4 linked regions of the Danio rerio genome follow. The protein of the gene in region 1 interacts with the protein of each later gene in a biochemical or structural test. Links are inferred from orthologs where the notes say so. Each region holds a gene or a part of one and is shown in the gene's direction. Other genes may lie near its edges.

The links.
Region 2: the proteins of rps6ka1 (region 1) and tamalin interact in a test that uses a peptide from one of them, tested with the Homo sapiens proteins (2 studies listed by BioGRID and IntAct). The link is inferred for Danio rerio from reciprocal best matches to the Homo sapiens genes RPS6KA1 and TAMALIN.
Region 3: the proteins of rps6ka1 (region 1) and gopc interact in a test that uses a peptide from one of them, tested with the Homo sapiens proteins (2 studies listed by BioGRID and IntAct, with this or other methods). The link is inferred for Danio rerio from reciprocal best matches to the Homo sapiens genes RPS6KA1 and GOPC.
Region 4: the proteins of rps6ka1 (region 1) and pdzrn3b interact in a test that uses a peptide from one of them, tested with the Homo sapiens proteins (2 studies listed by BioGRID and IntAct, with this or other methods). The link is inferred for Danio rerio from reciprocal best matches to the Homo sapiens genes RPS6KA1 and PDZRN3.

Annotation. Positions count from the first base shown.
Region 1 is NC_133192.1:28,543,787-28,547,992, forward strand, and holds the start of rps6ka1 (ribosomal protein S6 kinase alpha-1), read left to right. Parts: upstream 1-1,366; 5' UTR 1,367-1,856; coding exon 1,857-1,919; intron 1,920-4,206. UniProt on the Homo sapiens protein: Serine/threonine-protein kinase that acts downstream of ERK (MAPK1/ERK2 and MAPK3/ERK1) signaling and mediates mitogenic and stress-induced activation of the transcription factors CREB1, ETV1/ER81 and NR4A1/NUR77, regulates translation through RPS6 and EIF4B phosphorylation, and mediates cellular proliferation, survival, and differentiation by modulating mTOR signaling and repressing pro-apoptotic function of BAD and DAPK1.
Region 2 is NC_133198.1:35,148,622-35,152,264, reverse strand, and holds part of tamalin (general receptor for phosphoinositides 1-associated scaffold protein), read left to right. Parts: intron 1-1,877; coding exon 1,878-1,971; intron 1,972-3,236; coding exon 3,237-3,303; intron 3,304-3,643. UniProt on the Homo sapiens protein: Plays a role in intracellular trafficking and contributes to the macromolecular organization of group 1 metabotropic glutamate receptors (mGluRs) at synapses.
Region 3 is NC_133195.1:45,541,657-45,545,827, forward strand, and holds the start of gopc (Golgi-associated PDZ and coiled-coil motif-containing protein), read left to right. Parts: upstream 1-1,367; 5' UTR 1,368-1,504; coding exon 1,505-1,786; intron 1,787-4,171.
Region 4 is NC_133181.1:46,767,887-46,771,529, reverse strand, and holds part of pdzrn3b (E3 ubiquitin-protein ligase PDZRN3-B), read left to right. Parts: intron 1-1,915; coding exon 1,916-3,439; 3' UTR 3,440-3,643. UniProt on the Homo sapiens protein: E3 ubiquitin-protein ligase. Plays an important role in regulating the surface level of MUSK on myotubes. Mediates the ubiquitination of MUSK, promoting its endocytosis and lysosomal degradation. Might contribute to terminal myogenic differentiation.

The DNA of each region.
Region 1 (4,206 bases):
AGTTTGTACTTTGTCCCATCATTTGACTCAATGAAACATGGTCCTCTACCAATGCACACTCCATATCCTCCCACTACCATCTCATAAAGGCGGCCATTCATACTCTGTTTTACTCTGGCAACAGATTCACCGGCACGCTGGCAGATGGTCTGTGGTTGCCAGTGGTAACCACTCTCAGCGAGAAGCAACAGTTGCTCTTCTCTGCTCCCTTTGAGAGAATAAAAAGTCAAGAGGTATTGGCATATCACTGCCTCGCCACAAAATGGGCAAGCCTACAAGACAATTACAATTGAGAACATCGAACAGCATTCCTAGCATGATGGAAAAGGAGATAGGCTACTTGTGCCAGTAATGGGGAATACTTTGTTACATCAATCTCTCTTTTGTTGAGAAGTTTTTTTTTTTTTCTGAGAAATGCCCTGGGATGATATGCTTTCATATCAGTCAAATGCAGTTAAAAAGATATTTTATAGGAAATTGGTGGTGGTGTTGTTGTTTAAGTGATAAAAAACATCCAAATGTTATCTTACACCTGAAAAACGTGTAATAATCAAACTGCTAGATTTTTTTATTTCAGAACCCAGTTTATGAATTGATGACTTTTTTGATTAGACTTTAACAAATTGATTAAGTTGGTTGACAAATTTATGAGAGTGTGGACTGAAACACAAAACACAAAGTCTGTAATTCAATCTGAATTTTTGTGACATAGCCAATACTTTAAATTCGCACATAATTCTGACGAATTAATGTCATGTGAACATGATTGATTTATCAGTTCTTGCTGAAACCCCCAAAATTCCATCTAAATGTATCTTTTTCTGTTACTTTTGTCCTTCTAACTTTAAAAAACAAAACAAAATTGTATGAGTTTTGAGGAAGATAATTGTTTTTGTTGTGAGTCTTCTCTGTGAAATGTACTTTCAGACACAAATGGAATTTTTAAAAACAAAAAGTATTGATCTCCAGGAGTTTAAGAAGTGTTTTCATCTGGCCTCTTTAACTTTGACACAAATATATTTAAATTTTAAGCTATGGACAGCAGGACATACTTTTATTTGTGTGAGGTGACGTGACACGCACGTGTGTATGAGGTTTGAACGCAATTTCCCGATAAATCCACGCCGAGACCGCAAAATAATTAAACTACTGTATGTTTGGAAGAGGATTTTTTATTAGTTACATGAGAGTTTGTTTGAATATAACAACCTGTAAATTTGAGCTAGAAGTTTCAGCCCTTGTCAGTGCAGCTTTAGAGTTTGCCTTGCAGTAACAGCACAGGTCCAGAGAGGGGCGTAAGCAGAGTGTTTGGAAAAGGGGCTGGCCGAGAACTGTCTTCAAACCAATGATCGGCTGAAGCTTTTACACTGTGGATTCGGTTCAGAGGAGAACACACTGACAGCATCGGCTCCTCTTTGCAGCGTCTGTGTGCACACCGACAGTCAGTGTCAGAAGACACTTTCCACCGTATTGCATTAACACATCTTATTGGATTTCCTCGGAGGAGACGCGATTGATCGGCGCAGACGCGCAGTGCATGTTCTTCTGAAAGCCGAGTCCACCTGCGCGTGTCTGAGAGATTTGTTCATTTCCAGGAACGGGGCTGTGCAACTCCTCTTCCTAGCCGGACTGAGAGGAGAATCCGTCAACGTCATTTAAACGGGAATAACAGCTTTGATCTTTCTTTTTCTACGAAGTGATTATGCGCGTCCTGCGCGGATTGTAAGCAAGGAAAGTCGCCCGTTTGCTCCTGACCCAAAGGGACATATCAGGTCGTGCCAGCAGGAAATACACGGGTTCGGAAGAAATTCCCATTCAAATTTGAGGACTTGAGACAAACAGAAGGAGCGTGCACAATGCCTCTTGCTCAACTGGCAGAGCCATGGCCCAAAATGGAGCTGGTGCAGTTGGAGACGGAGGTGAGAGGTGGTGAAATCACAGCACTAAAATTAACTGATTTAATGTGCGCCCTTTAGGTTGCTCTATCCGTGCCAGAGGTCCACGTGTTTGACTTTAGGAGTTCATGAGAAATACAGCAGTCGTCTAGAAATGTGATACTTTGTGCAAAATAACTAAAGAGTTGTGCAGGTGTGATGGTCAGGGTCTTTATTCTGTTCTTTTGGAGCGCCAGCAGGACGCGCAGCGCTCAAGTAGTGCAGGTCAGATGTTTCCTAATACTGGAGGGTCGTTTCATAAAAAAGTGCCTAGGTGACCTTCATAATCGATGACTTTAACCAAATAATCTTTTTCTAACTTAAACACACTCACACTCACACTCACACACACACACACACACACACACACACCAGACCCATAAACCTTCTTCATTTGGATGTCAGTCGTAGCCTTGTAATGATAGCAGTGTGAATATCAACCATGTTTTCAAGTTTCTTTTTTGATGAAAACCATAATTTTTTTTAAGAATCATGTTCATGCTATTTCACAGCTGCTTTGGAAAAAAGTCAATTATATCTAGATTTTAAATAATGTGGCATGAAAGTATAATCCAAAAACATGCCACCACTTCAGTGATTCATAACCTTTTTTCTAAATCAGAAAATCACATAAAATCACATTTTCAGCGTGGAAAAATGAACCAATTTTAGGGAATGACTCTGCAGTTGTGTCATCTTTAAACTCCAGCGGAAGAATATTGTTTTCTTGTTGTGCTCAGTGAAGCAGCTGTTTTCCAGTTTTTCACTGTGCAGTTCTCTTCTCTGGGGTACATGTCAAATGTCATAAAATCAAATAAATAATACAGCAGTTTAAGGTCAGAAGAAGCATTGGGAAACAACACTCGAGTTATCGAGCTCTTTTGTATTTCTGAACTTTAGTTGTGGTGCATAAGAAAAACACAATTTTTAGTGTTTTTTTATGTTAAACATGTTATAAAATTATTGGCATATAAATACTTAATATTTACATTGTCAAAATCAAATAGCATCCACTCGTATCTGCAGTATAAATTGTCATGCTTGGTTATAAAAAAATTAGGTGTTTTTTCCTTTAAAAGATTTAAATTGCGATATGTGTTCAAATATGCTAGTTTGATGATTTGTATCTTTTGGTGACAGACCACAGTGCTGACATCTCTGAGAGCTAAACTCCTAGTCAGTTCGAGTTTTGTATCACAGAATACTGTCAAGACGTTTGCATTGTACAGCTCTGGAATTTCCTCTTCCAATTCAGCTGCAGGCCAAGTTTGCAACTACAAGGCAAGCAGAGACAATATGTTCTGTGAGTGATTAATGAGAATGGAAGGAAGAAGATTTAATTTCTTATCTTGCTCTCAGACTAATGTTGATCTCATTTGAGAATCACAATAAGAGGCGTATTTTACTCTTTTGTTCCTGTTCGTGTAATCTGTGCAATTTTGAGATTAAATTAACTTTAATTTTCCCTTGCCTTCTGCTCTCTCACCTGCGCAATGAGTTCACCACCAATCAACTGGCAGCAGGTTTGCTGCAGAAACATTCTCAGTTTTCTCAGTCATTTGAACGAAATTACTTCTGCAGATGAAAACGAGAGGCAGAACTGATCAGAAAAAAATCTAATATAAGTTTAGCAGGAAAGCTCTACTGATTAGAATCTTGCTACAGCATTTCTGCAAGTAGCCTACCACAAGATCTTAAAGTGCTTCTTCCTGATATAGACTCGCTGAACAAAGGACTAAGCACAGGAAGTCACACCACTTAATTTGTCTGAAAAAGACAGGTTTTAGTTTTTTCACATGCTGCTAGTGCTCAAAGGACCCCAGACACACAAAGTGTGTAGTTACTAGATTGAAGAAAAAATGTGTCGTCAAAATGTAAATGTATGTAAAATGCACACCTGCCTATTCTGTCTGATATTATTTTAAAAAGGGCATTTTGCCATTTGCATCAAATTATATTCAACATAAGTGCAATTTTGCAGTCAAAACATGACTCTTTACAAATAAATAGATCTATTGCTAGTTTTGATATGTTTGTTTTGATAATCTGACATTACTTGCAGCATTTTGGTGTATATATTTTCATGCTTACAGAATCATGAAGTATCAGTACACATTAAGTTAGCTTGGTTTAAAGGTCCTGTGAAGTGCTTTGAAATGTGCATTTTTGGTGTGTGACAATTTCAAATGAAACTTGAAAACAGGGCAGGAAAGCTCCTCCCCTTTTAAAAAGCAGCCAATAGCTTTTTATTTTTATTAATACTCTGCCAGTG
Region 2 (3,643 bases), on another chromosome or scaffold:
GATTTCTTTCAAAATCAAAACTTGTTAACATTTTTTTTTGAAAAAGTAGAGTAAATGTACAAGCAAACTGAGGCCTGTTATCAAAATTACTCAATGCCTGTTTTGTTCTATGAAACAAATTATACATTATACAATTTAGCTATTTTTTTATTAAACTCCTTGTAATATCTATTATTATTTACTGCTATGTACAGAAAACCCCTACAACGGTTGCCAGATGTTAACCTGGAACTTGTGTATTAATCTTTATAGAAGCTTAATGGCAACTTTATGCAAAACCAGTTGAGAAGAAGATCAAGAAATGTCTCAAAAATACATCTGTGTCATTATCCTGGAAAGCCATATTCAGGCTTTAATGATTTGTTAGCGCTTTAAGGAAATTTAAAATGCAGATTCTGCATTCCTTTCTATTATCTGAAGAGAACAAGGAGTTCTTCATATGAAAACTTGCTTACTCTGTCCTGAGATCAGTTGAACTTTTCTGTGTCCACGATTTGACAGTTCTGCATGTCAGATAAACTGATGTCAGTTCAGCAGTGAAGAGGAACTCCTACCCGGTGTTGCCGTGCGTGTGTTGGTTTCGCTTCCTGCATTCCCTGCATGCTTTGCGCCATTGTCCTGCCTGGCCTGTCGCTCAAAAGAACATGACCTCATCACCAGACAACCCAAAACTCTCAGAGGAGAAAAGGAATTGTTTTATTACAGATTGATGTGTGCCGTTCAGGCCCTCAACAGATGCGTCCCAAAAACCCTTCAGGGAAACAATCATTTGATGTAATGAAGAAAAAAGTTGCAATGAACAAAGTGTTTTCAGCTCGAAGTCACGCCAGAAGGGGGAAAAAAATGCACAGACGTGTTTTTGCTGGCGTCAAGTTAATTAGATTTATAATGGCAGCATGTTTTGCGTGCTAAAAGATGGACCTATATTCTGGAAAATATGGCAATAGAGGATGAAAAAATTAAAAGGCCACTTAAAGTTTGTTAGCTTTTGGTTTATATAAACATTAATGACAACGTGTCTTCAAGATTTTACATAGAAATATTAACATTTAGTGCATTTGGCAGAAAATTATATATCATCAATATAAGAATTGTAAAAAATCAGCTTTCATATGTTAAATTATCAGTATATAAAATGTTTGTTTAAATAAAAAAATATTTATTTAAACACATTTTATTTGCTCATTTTAAAATATGAAAACTATTTATTATTATTATTATTATTATTATTATTTTATTTAAATATTGAGTAAATGTATGGAAAATTATTACAATTAATAAAAAATATATATATATTTTAAATATTGAGTAAATAACATGTATGTGTAAATAATCAAATCTATTAAAAATAGTGAGATATGTAATATTAAGTAAATCAAATGTATGTTTAAAATATTTATATATATATATATATGTGTGTGTGTGTGTGTGTGTGTGTGTGTGTGTGTTTTAAATATTGAGTAAATAAAATGTGTGTAAATAAATAAATAAATAAAATGAAATAAAAATAGTTTTGATATTTTAACTATTGAGTAAATAAAATGTGTGTAATAAATAAATTAATTTAATTAAATTAATATTAAAAGGTTTACACGTATGGAATATTTTATATTGACTTAATGTCATTTTCAGTAAATAAATGGTCTAAAATGATAATATTCTTGTCTGAAGTGTTTTAAATATGTATTATTCAGTAGTTATGTAAAACACTTATATTATCAAAGTAAACATAATTTAACATTTTACGACAGACATGTGGCTATAAAAAGCAGATCCAGAGAACTAACAACTTTTTTAGGTTTTATTTTATTTATTTTCCAACCAAACGTGTTCTCAGTTTAACACTTTTCTCTGTGATTTAATTAATTTTTTTATAGGTGACACGATTGCCAGCGTGAACGACACTTCAGTTGACGGATTTCGCCATAAAGAAATCGTCCAGCTCATTAAATCATCAGGAAACAACATTAGGTTTGTAAATATCCAACATTCTTCCATCTCTGATTTTCTAAAGAAGCCAAATACCGTCACACTTTCCCCAATAAAGGAGCTGAAATGAAATCTAAATAGTTCCAGTGTACCAGTGGTTTCTTTTCTGATTAGCTTAAAGAATAAGATCTGCTATTGCTTGATTGGAAGCACACTTTCCTTCCCCCTTTTTATTTCCTGTTCAATAAAAGATAAAAGGCCCGTGAAAATGAACCTCCATTTATAAAGTGTGGAAAGCGAAGATGCGAACCACATGAAGGCCCTCCATGGCTTTTAACCCAATTATTTCCACTTTTAAACAGGGGTCCTGCTGTAAATGAGAATGTTTACAGGAGCCCGTTAAAAAGAGGCTCCCGCTTCATATTCACGTCACCAATGAAATCATATACATTTGGGGGAAGGGGAGTTTTGGGTTACCGCCTAGCTCCGATTCAGATTTGTTGTGGTTTGAAGGGCCTTTAATTGCTGTTTTTAGTAGATTGTAGTGTGAAAATACTTAAAGATAAAGTTTTGTAAAGCCAAAAAAAAAATTCTGAAGGTTTGTGAGCTCTTTTCGTAGCATAATATACAGTATAATGATGAACATAATATATATATGATGCTTTTTTACCTTGATTTACAGAAAACAAAAAGTAAAATGTCATTAATTTAATAAATAATAGCATAATTAGTAACATTAGTGAGAGGCTTATTCAGCACAAAATAAATAATTGGATAAATAATTAACATTATTATTATAGTTGCAGCTGCAAAATACTAATTCATTTATTAATAATTATTTATTAATTTATCAATTAAAGAATAATATTTTTATAGTTAAAAAACCTTCTTTAAAACCAATAGGTTTATTAGTTTATAGGTTTATTTACATTTATACATTTTATTATTATTATTATTATAGTTACATTTTCATTTATTTTTAAAAAGTTTTTCCTTAAAACCAATAGGTTTATTAGTTAATAGGTTTATTTACAAATGTAAATGTATTTAAATGTATAAATAAAACAACAAACATTTTTACATAAATATTTTACTTATATTTTTACCCATATTTATTTTATTTTTTATTTAAAACAGTAAGTAGACACATTTCTTGCATTTAATATACTTTTGGTATATATAAACTCGCTTATTTAACTTTATCTAGATGCAGTCATATCATAATCAGACATCTAATCTTTTACTCTCACAACAAAGTAAATGACTTTTGACATGCATCACTGTGTTGCTTTTGTTCCTGTGTTTAGGCTAGAAACCGTCTACAGCGACTCTATAAGAAAAGCAGAACTGGAAGCTCGTCTGCAGTATCTAAAGGTGAGTCTCTTTAACCATGTGTAAAGCGACATGCACATATCGAGCATTTACAAGTGTTGTAACGTAAGGCGAGCATGTTAACACAGCTGCCCCGCTCTGGCACAGAAACACTAGGGGCGATCACACCTGTTTCCCCTCACGCTACACCTGTCCCCTCTTAATCCTTACATACCACATACAGTACAGCTGACACAAGGAGAAAAACACATTTTTACACTCCTCACCATAATCTGCGAAGTGAACGACGATGCCTGGGCTGTCAAATTAAAATTTTAAATGTATTTTTTATTTTTGAAAGTTAAAAGATCTGGGTAAAAAATTACAAAGTTGTAGACTTTAA
Region 3 (4,171 bases), on another chromosome or scaffold:
ATAAGTAAACAAATAAATACTTAAATAAACAGCATGCATCATAATCATTTATTGTAAAATTCAACATTGCTCTTAATATCTTTAAAGAATCTAAAAAAATACATAAATGTCATAAATTGTACAATTTATTTTATTAATGTATTTAAATAACCTAACATAGTTTAATCAATCAATCAATAAATAAACATGTCATCATTACTGTAAAATTTAAAGTTACAAATAAAAGTTCAAAGTCATTTAAAAAGTTAAAAACAAATGCATAAACATATATATAACCCAAACATAAAACAAAATTAAATAGAACAAATATAAAGTAAAACTATATAAAATAAAAATAATTTTAAAAAGTAATTATTGCAGATACTTCTAGACAAAATATATCCGCTATAAAGTTTTAGAGCTTAATCCATGATATGTTAAAATGTTAAAGGAGCATAATCAGTATTAATTGTTTTAATTACTTTTTTATTTTTAGACATCATATATGTATAGATGATATGATAATCACTTTTTAGCATTTATGAATGAAAAATTAACATCATAATAAAATAAAGTTTCTAATAAAACCAGCATTCTATAAAGAGGACATAATAAGCCCAAAATCACATGTTTAGATGATAATGAATGTTTTTAAAATAGGAGCGATAAAACTTCCACAGGCATCACGGTGGCGCAGTGGGTAGCACGATTGCCTCACAGCAAGAAGGTCGCTGGTTCGAGAATCGGCTGGGTCAGTAAGCATTTCTGTGTGGAGTGTGCATGTTTGCCCTGTGAACCCGTGGGTTTCCTCCGGATGCTTCGGTTTCCCCCATAGTCCAAAGACATGCGGTATAGGTAAATTGAGTAAGCTAAATTGTACGTAGTGTATGAGTGTGAATGTGTGAGTGTATGGATGTTTCCCAGTGATGGGTTGCAGCTGGAAGGGTATCCGCTGCGTAATACTGAATAAGTTGGCGGTTCATTCTGCTGTGGCAACCTAATATTAATAGAGGGACTAAGCCGAAAAGCAACTCCCTTTTTTTTCTTCTTCCATTTCAAAAAACTTGCAATTCTAGAAACTTCAACATTGCTCCAAATATATCGAGTATATCAAAAGTACCAAAGTAAATCTTATGTTGAGCATATAAAAAATTGAGTATATCAAAAGTACCATAATAAATGTTAGATTTTTTTTATATAAGTCAATAAAAAATAATTTTAAAAAGTCCGGTAAATGACCAAAAAAAAAAGCTAATAACCTCAAAAACCTGAAAAAAATCGATTCGCTCATCATTCGACTGCTTACCTCATCGTGTGGCAGACCCGACTAATCAATCCGCGTTGTTGACTTGTTCGATCTCGGATTTCCTGGTCAGATGAGAGCACGGGAAACACCTCAGCTAAACATCACTCTGACTCTGTAACACAGCAGAAGTCAATCATTAGCATAAACCAACTGATCTATCCTACTGAAGGACTACATTCGAGTTCTCCGTGAGTTTTCCCCCCTGTCTCAGTCTTGAAGATGTCTGCGTCCGCTGGCGGTGCTGGATCACCGGGATCGGGCCTCTCCGCCGGCCCGGCTGCGGCTACCGGCTCCGGTATGTCCATGTTCCGGTGGCTGGAGGTGTTGGAGAAGGAGTTTGACAAGGCATTTGTGGACGTGGATCTGTTGTTGGGAGAGATCGATCCGGATCAGGCTGATATCACGTATGAGGGCCGCCAGAAGATGACCAGTCTCAGCTCGTGTTTTGCTCAGTTGTGCCATAAAGCACAAACCATCTTCCAGCTCAACCACAAACTGGAGGTAAAGAGAATAGATTAAACTAGATCAATATATTGAGGTATAGTTGGTTTTATGTTAACACATTCGTTCATTTTTGAACACTGACAACTAGTGTCACAGTTCCTATTTTGTGTTCACCATGCTACTTTAAATATTCGGTCTGAAATCGCATGTAAGTATGACTTCAAAACAACATTAGCAGCACCAACCGACTCTGAACAATGTTGTGCTTTAATAGTCATTTATTGGCTGCTAATATGATTTCCCTATTTTGAAACTTCAAAAGATACTTTTCTAAAATTCTATTATTTTACTCATAACAGATTTTTATAAGTACAAAACAGAACAAAACATTTACACAATCATTTTATACAAGTGATAAGAAAAAATACACTGTAAATCTAAAAAGTTAAGGTAACTCAAACTGTTTGAGGAAACTGATTTCAACATACCATTTAAGTTCAGAAACTAATCCTAATGGGTACTGTGATCTTAATCCATTTGTGTAATGAAGCAATTTGAGCACAGTAAAACCCAGTAAAAAAAGAGAACTCAAACCAACTTAGTACTGTAAAAAAACAATAAATTAAAGCGACTCAAACCGTTTTAGGAAACCGATTGCAATAAAGCATTTGAGTTAAAAACTAATCTATGAGTACTGTGAACTTCCTCCATTTAAGATGAAGTAATGAGGTTTAATTAGCTCAATATCTTCAACGCCTAGTTCAAAACTCTTTTCAAATGAACTTGCAGTACATTTTGAGTTAGCTACACTCATTTTGCTTGATAAAGTTGACTGTTTTACAGTGTGCAGACAAACTGACAAAAACCAGTCCATCCAAACATGCTCCATATAGAGTAAATCATATACACTATTAGGTGTTACTTGATCAAACTCAAAACATTAAAAAATGGAGTGGAAAAGAAAGAGCAAAAATGTCCAAGAATCCTACTTACAACTCTTAAAAAAAGAAATGCAAGGAAGAAGCCCCAGATTTTTCAAGCTGTTTAGAAGCATCTGCCCTAGCAAAACAAATTCTTTCAAGCTTAAAGGGCCATGAAACCCCCTCGTTTCAGCAGGGTGTTTTCACACCTCTTCTTTGGAAAAAGTCAGAAAAGTGGGCGTGTCCAGATCTGTTTAGGGGGGAGTGTCGGAGGAACTAAAGTGGGAGGGTGTGGGAGTGTCGATTTGGGCACGCGCGAGTTTCAGAGTCAAAATACACACACACACACACACACACACACATACATACAGGAGAATGTGATGGTGTTTAACCTACATGGACATCTGTAGTCGAATTATTAGCCAAATTATTAAATGGTGGACTTTAACTGCAGTTTGGCTCTTTCATTCAGGGAATTCATTCATGTCCCTCGCGACACACGAGACATTTGATTCGAGGAGCTGCTCTAAGCGTGTATTTTTCATGCAATGTTTTATACCGCACGGCGAATGAGAGAAAAAAACCCTCTGCATTTCCCAGAAACTTAGATGCACACGACAGGTAGTGTCAGAAAGCCGCGCGTGTTATTCCGGTCACTAAATGCGGTAAAAACCCTACACGAGGTTAAAGTTTGGTTGTGGTGCTAACGTGTTTACACTCTGTGCAATAGTTTGTTAGATACGAACAAACTGAATAAACAAAGAGCACTGGTCGCTCACTTACCAAATCTGTAGAGACAGGACAATCACCAGCAACTAGAGCCGCGTCTTTATGAAGAGAATACTACAAACGATTCCAGATCTCAGCGTTTGCAGATGAGAACAGCTCTCAGGTAAACAATAATCCTCCTTAGACACGTAAGTTATTGTTGTCGCGCGTCGCGTACACTGTAATCCACACGTGAGTCTGAGCTCTCACAGAGAGAAAATGAAAACGAAACTTAACTGCAGCAAACTATAAAAGCAACACTTCACGCTTGTTTTGCCAACACAACATGGCGTCTCTGTCCTGAAAACACGGTGATAGTAATGAATATTAATGAAGTTGCACAATAGAGTGCGCTGATTGGTTTGACCCAAGCCTTACTCATGCATTAATGTATCACACTGTAAGACGTAATAAGACTCACTCAGGCACAGACATCCAGTCTGCACGCTGGAATACACGCTATTATGTCATGACCGTGACGCAGCTTCAAAAATTCGTTTCAAACAGGAAGTACGAATTTGCTTAAAATAACGCAAAAACAACCAATTTACACTTTTTAGTGAAATATAGGTGTCCTAATAGTGTTTTTAGCAGTGTGGGACACATATACGACTGTCAACAGCTCAAAAAATGTGTTTTGGTGTTTCGTGACCCTTTAAGAACAATTTTAGTCAGCCATTTCTGAAGTAAGTAGGTGGTAGAGTGGACTTCCAATCCATCAAGATCACCCTTTTAGCCACCACCATACCAAACA
Region 4 (3,643 bases), on another chromosome or scaffold:
TTAATTTAAAAGGTACAGAATTAGGCTTATAGCTGTTCGGTTTAAATGCCATACAGTATTGTACTTATTTGTGTACTTCATTTAAAAAATGTATCATGACAGTTAAAAGGCAAATATGGCTGTATAAACAATTGCTAACATTGCTGTTATCAGTAATGAAACTTAATAAGAGGGCAATTATTGTAGTTAATGTAATAGCTTGGTTTTTTTTTACTATACCAGTGGCAAATCGATACTTACAATGCATCCGGAAAGTATTCATAGTGCTTCACTTTTGCCACATTTTTTGTTACAGCCTTATTCCAAAATGGATTAAATTAATTTATTTCCTTAAAATTTTGCACACAATACCCCATAATGACAATGTGAACAAAATATTTTTTTGAAATTGTTGCAAATTAATTAAAAATTCACAGCCTTTGTTCAATGCTTTGTTGATGCACCTTTGGCAGTAATTACAACCTTAAGTCATTTTGAATATGATGCCACAAGCTTGGCACACCTGTCTTTGGGAATTTTTACCCATTCCTCTTTGTAGAACCTCTCAAGCTCTATCAGATTGGATTGGGAAGCGATGGTGTACAGCCATTTTCAGATCTTTCCAGAGATGTTCAATAGGATTTAGGTCTGGGCTCTGGCTGGGCCACTCAAGGACATTCACCGAGTTGTTGTGAAGCCACTCCATTTATATCTTGGCGGTGTGCTTTGGTTCATTGTCCTGCTGGAAGAAAAACTGTCGCCCCAGTCTGAGGTCAAGAGCAATCTGAAGCAGGTTTTCATTCAGGATGTCTCTGTACATTGCTGCATTCATCTTTCCCTCTATCCGGACTAGTTTTTCAGTTCCTGCTGCTGAAAAACATCTTCACAGCATGATAGTATTAGCCTGGCATTCACTCCAAGGGGTTTAATTTTAGTGTCATCAGAGAATTTAGTTTCTTATGGTCTGAGAGTCCTTAAGATGCCTTTTGACATACTTTAGGGGGGAGTGGCTTTTCTCTGGCCACTCTACCATACAGGCCTGATTGGTGGATTGCTGCACATATATGGTTGTCCATCTGTAAGGTTCTCCTCTCGCCACAGAAAAAAGCTGGAGCTCAGACAGAGTGACCATTAGGTTATTGATAACCTCGCTGACTAAGGCCCTTCTCCCCCGATCACTCAGCTTAGATGGTCGGCCAGCTCTAGGAAGAGTCCTGGTGATTTCAAACATCTTGATGAAAGCCACTGTGCTCATTGGAACTTTCAGAGCAGCAAAATTTTTTCTGTAACCTTCCCGAACCTTGTGCCTCGAGACAATCCTGTCTCTGAATTCTACAGACAATTCCTTTGTCTTCATGCTTGGTTTGTGCTTTGACATGCACTGTCAACCCTGGGACCTTATATAGACAGGTGAACTCCAATTAAGCTGCTGAAACATCTCATGTATGATCAGTAGAAACAGAATGTACCTGAGCTCAATTTAGAGCTTGACGACAAAGGCTGTGAATACTTACAGTATGTACATGTGATTTTTCAGGGTTTATATATATATATATATATATATATATATATATATATATATATATATATATATATATATATATATATATATATATATATATATATATGTATATATAAATTTGCAACAATTTCAAAAAATCTTTTTTTCTCATTGTCTTTTTGGGGCATTGTGTGTAGAATTTTGAGGAAATAAATGTATTTAAGCCATTTTGGAATAAGGCTGTAATATAAAAATTGTGGAAAAAGTCAAGCACTATGAATACTTTGCAGATGCATTGTAGATTCGCCATCAGTATCATGAAAGAACCCAAACGATTCCTTATCCTGGCTTGAATGTATTCATACATAGAGTATGGTGTTATTGAAGGTTTTCACTGAAGAGATTAACAATATACCCTGAATTGTTTTGTTACAGAAAAAGCACGAGGAAGATGGAGGTACAACAGATACAGCCACACTGCTCTCCCACCACCATGAGAAAGACAGTGGTGTGGGCCGCACTGATGACAGCACTCGCAACGATGAGAGCTCTGAGCAGGAGAATCTCGCAGATGACCAGACCAGCGCCTCCACCACACTGGGCAGCCGGCGCAGACTCGCATACAGTCAGGACACCCTTGGCAGTGGTGACCTCCCCTTCAGCAGCGAGTCCTTCATATCTGCAGACTATGCAGACGCAGAATTCTTGGGTGACTTTCCTGCTGATGAATGTGAGCGGTTTCGGGAACTTTTGGAGCTGAAGTGCCAGATGCAGAGTGCAGGCAGTAGTGGTACCCCAGATCAAAGCTTGTTGTGGCCCAGTGGTGGACAAGGCGGTGTTGGAGAGGAGGGTGTCGACAAAGAACTGGAACTTCTGAATGAGGAGCTCCGCAGCATTGAGCTTGAATGCCTGAGCATAGTCAGAGCGCACCGCATGCAGCAGTTACGGGAGCAGTGCCGCGAACAGTCCTGGATGCTGCACAACAGTGGCTTTCGCAACTACAACACAAGCGTAGATGCAAGGCGTCACGAGTTAGCAGACATCAGTGAACTTCCGGAAAAGTCTGACAAGGACAGTTCCAGTGCATACAATACTGGTGAAAGTTGCCGTAGCACCCCGCTCACATTAGAGCTCTCCCCGGACAACTCCTTGCGACGTGGAAATGAAAGCCAAGCAGAAGCAGGGGCAAGTAGCAGTACCTCGGGTCCCAGCAGAATTCTCAAACCCCTTCTCTCACCCGTCCAAGAGGCTTGCAGCCCCACTAGGGGCCGTCCAACATTATTAAAAGAGTCAGAGGTTGGTACCCAACCTGAAGTCAGAGAGCGCAAAGGAGGTCGTCATGCACATCCTCAATCACCCTACAAACATGCCCACATCCCGGCTCATGCCCAGCACTACCAGAGCTACATGCAGCTGATCCAGCAAAAGTCAGTGGAGTATGCCCAAAGCCAGATGAGCTTAGTAAGCATGTGCCGGGACCCTGTCACTTCTGCTGACTTGGGACCCAAGATGGAATGGAAAGTGAAGATCCGCAGTGACGGTACCCGATACATTACCAAGCGGCCAGTTCGAGACAAGCTTCTGAAAGAGCGAGCACTACGGATCCGAGAGGAGCGCAGTGGGATGACCACAGATGATGATGCCGTAAGCGAGATGAAGATGGGTCGGTATTGGAGCAAAGAAGAGCGCAAGCAACACGCCGTCCGTGCCAAAGAACAACGTCAACGTAGGGAGTTCATGAAGCAGAGCCGTATGGATTGTCAGAAAGAGCTGGGGGTCACCACTGAGGACAAGAAAGATGTCAACATTATCGAACTTAGTCACAAAAAAATGATGAAGAAGCGGAATAAGAAAATCTTTGACAATTGGATGACTATCCAGGAACTGTTGACCCATGGTACAAAGTCCCCTGATGGGACACGAGTGTACAATTCCCTACTCTCTGTGACTACAGTGTAGGCTCTGAAATGTTCTGTATATAGGACACTACCGATGGGGTAGACAATTCTGCCTCGTTCAATGCGGCAACATTTGTAAATAGGAAATATGAATGCCTTGTCTGAAGGAGCCATTTGCCAAAAGAAGGTACAACGAGAGTCTGAAATATTGAATAGGATGATGGTTTTATACAAGAGATAAGAACGTGTTTCTTATTTGCTCTGT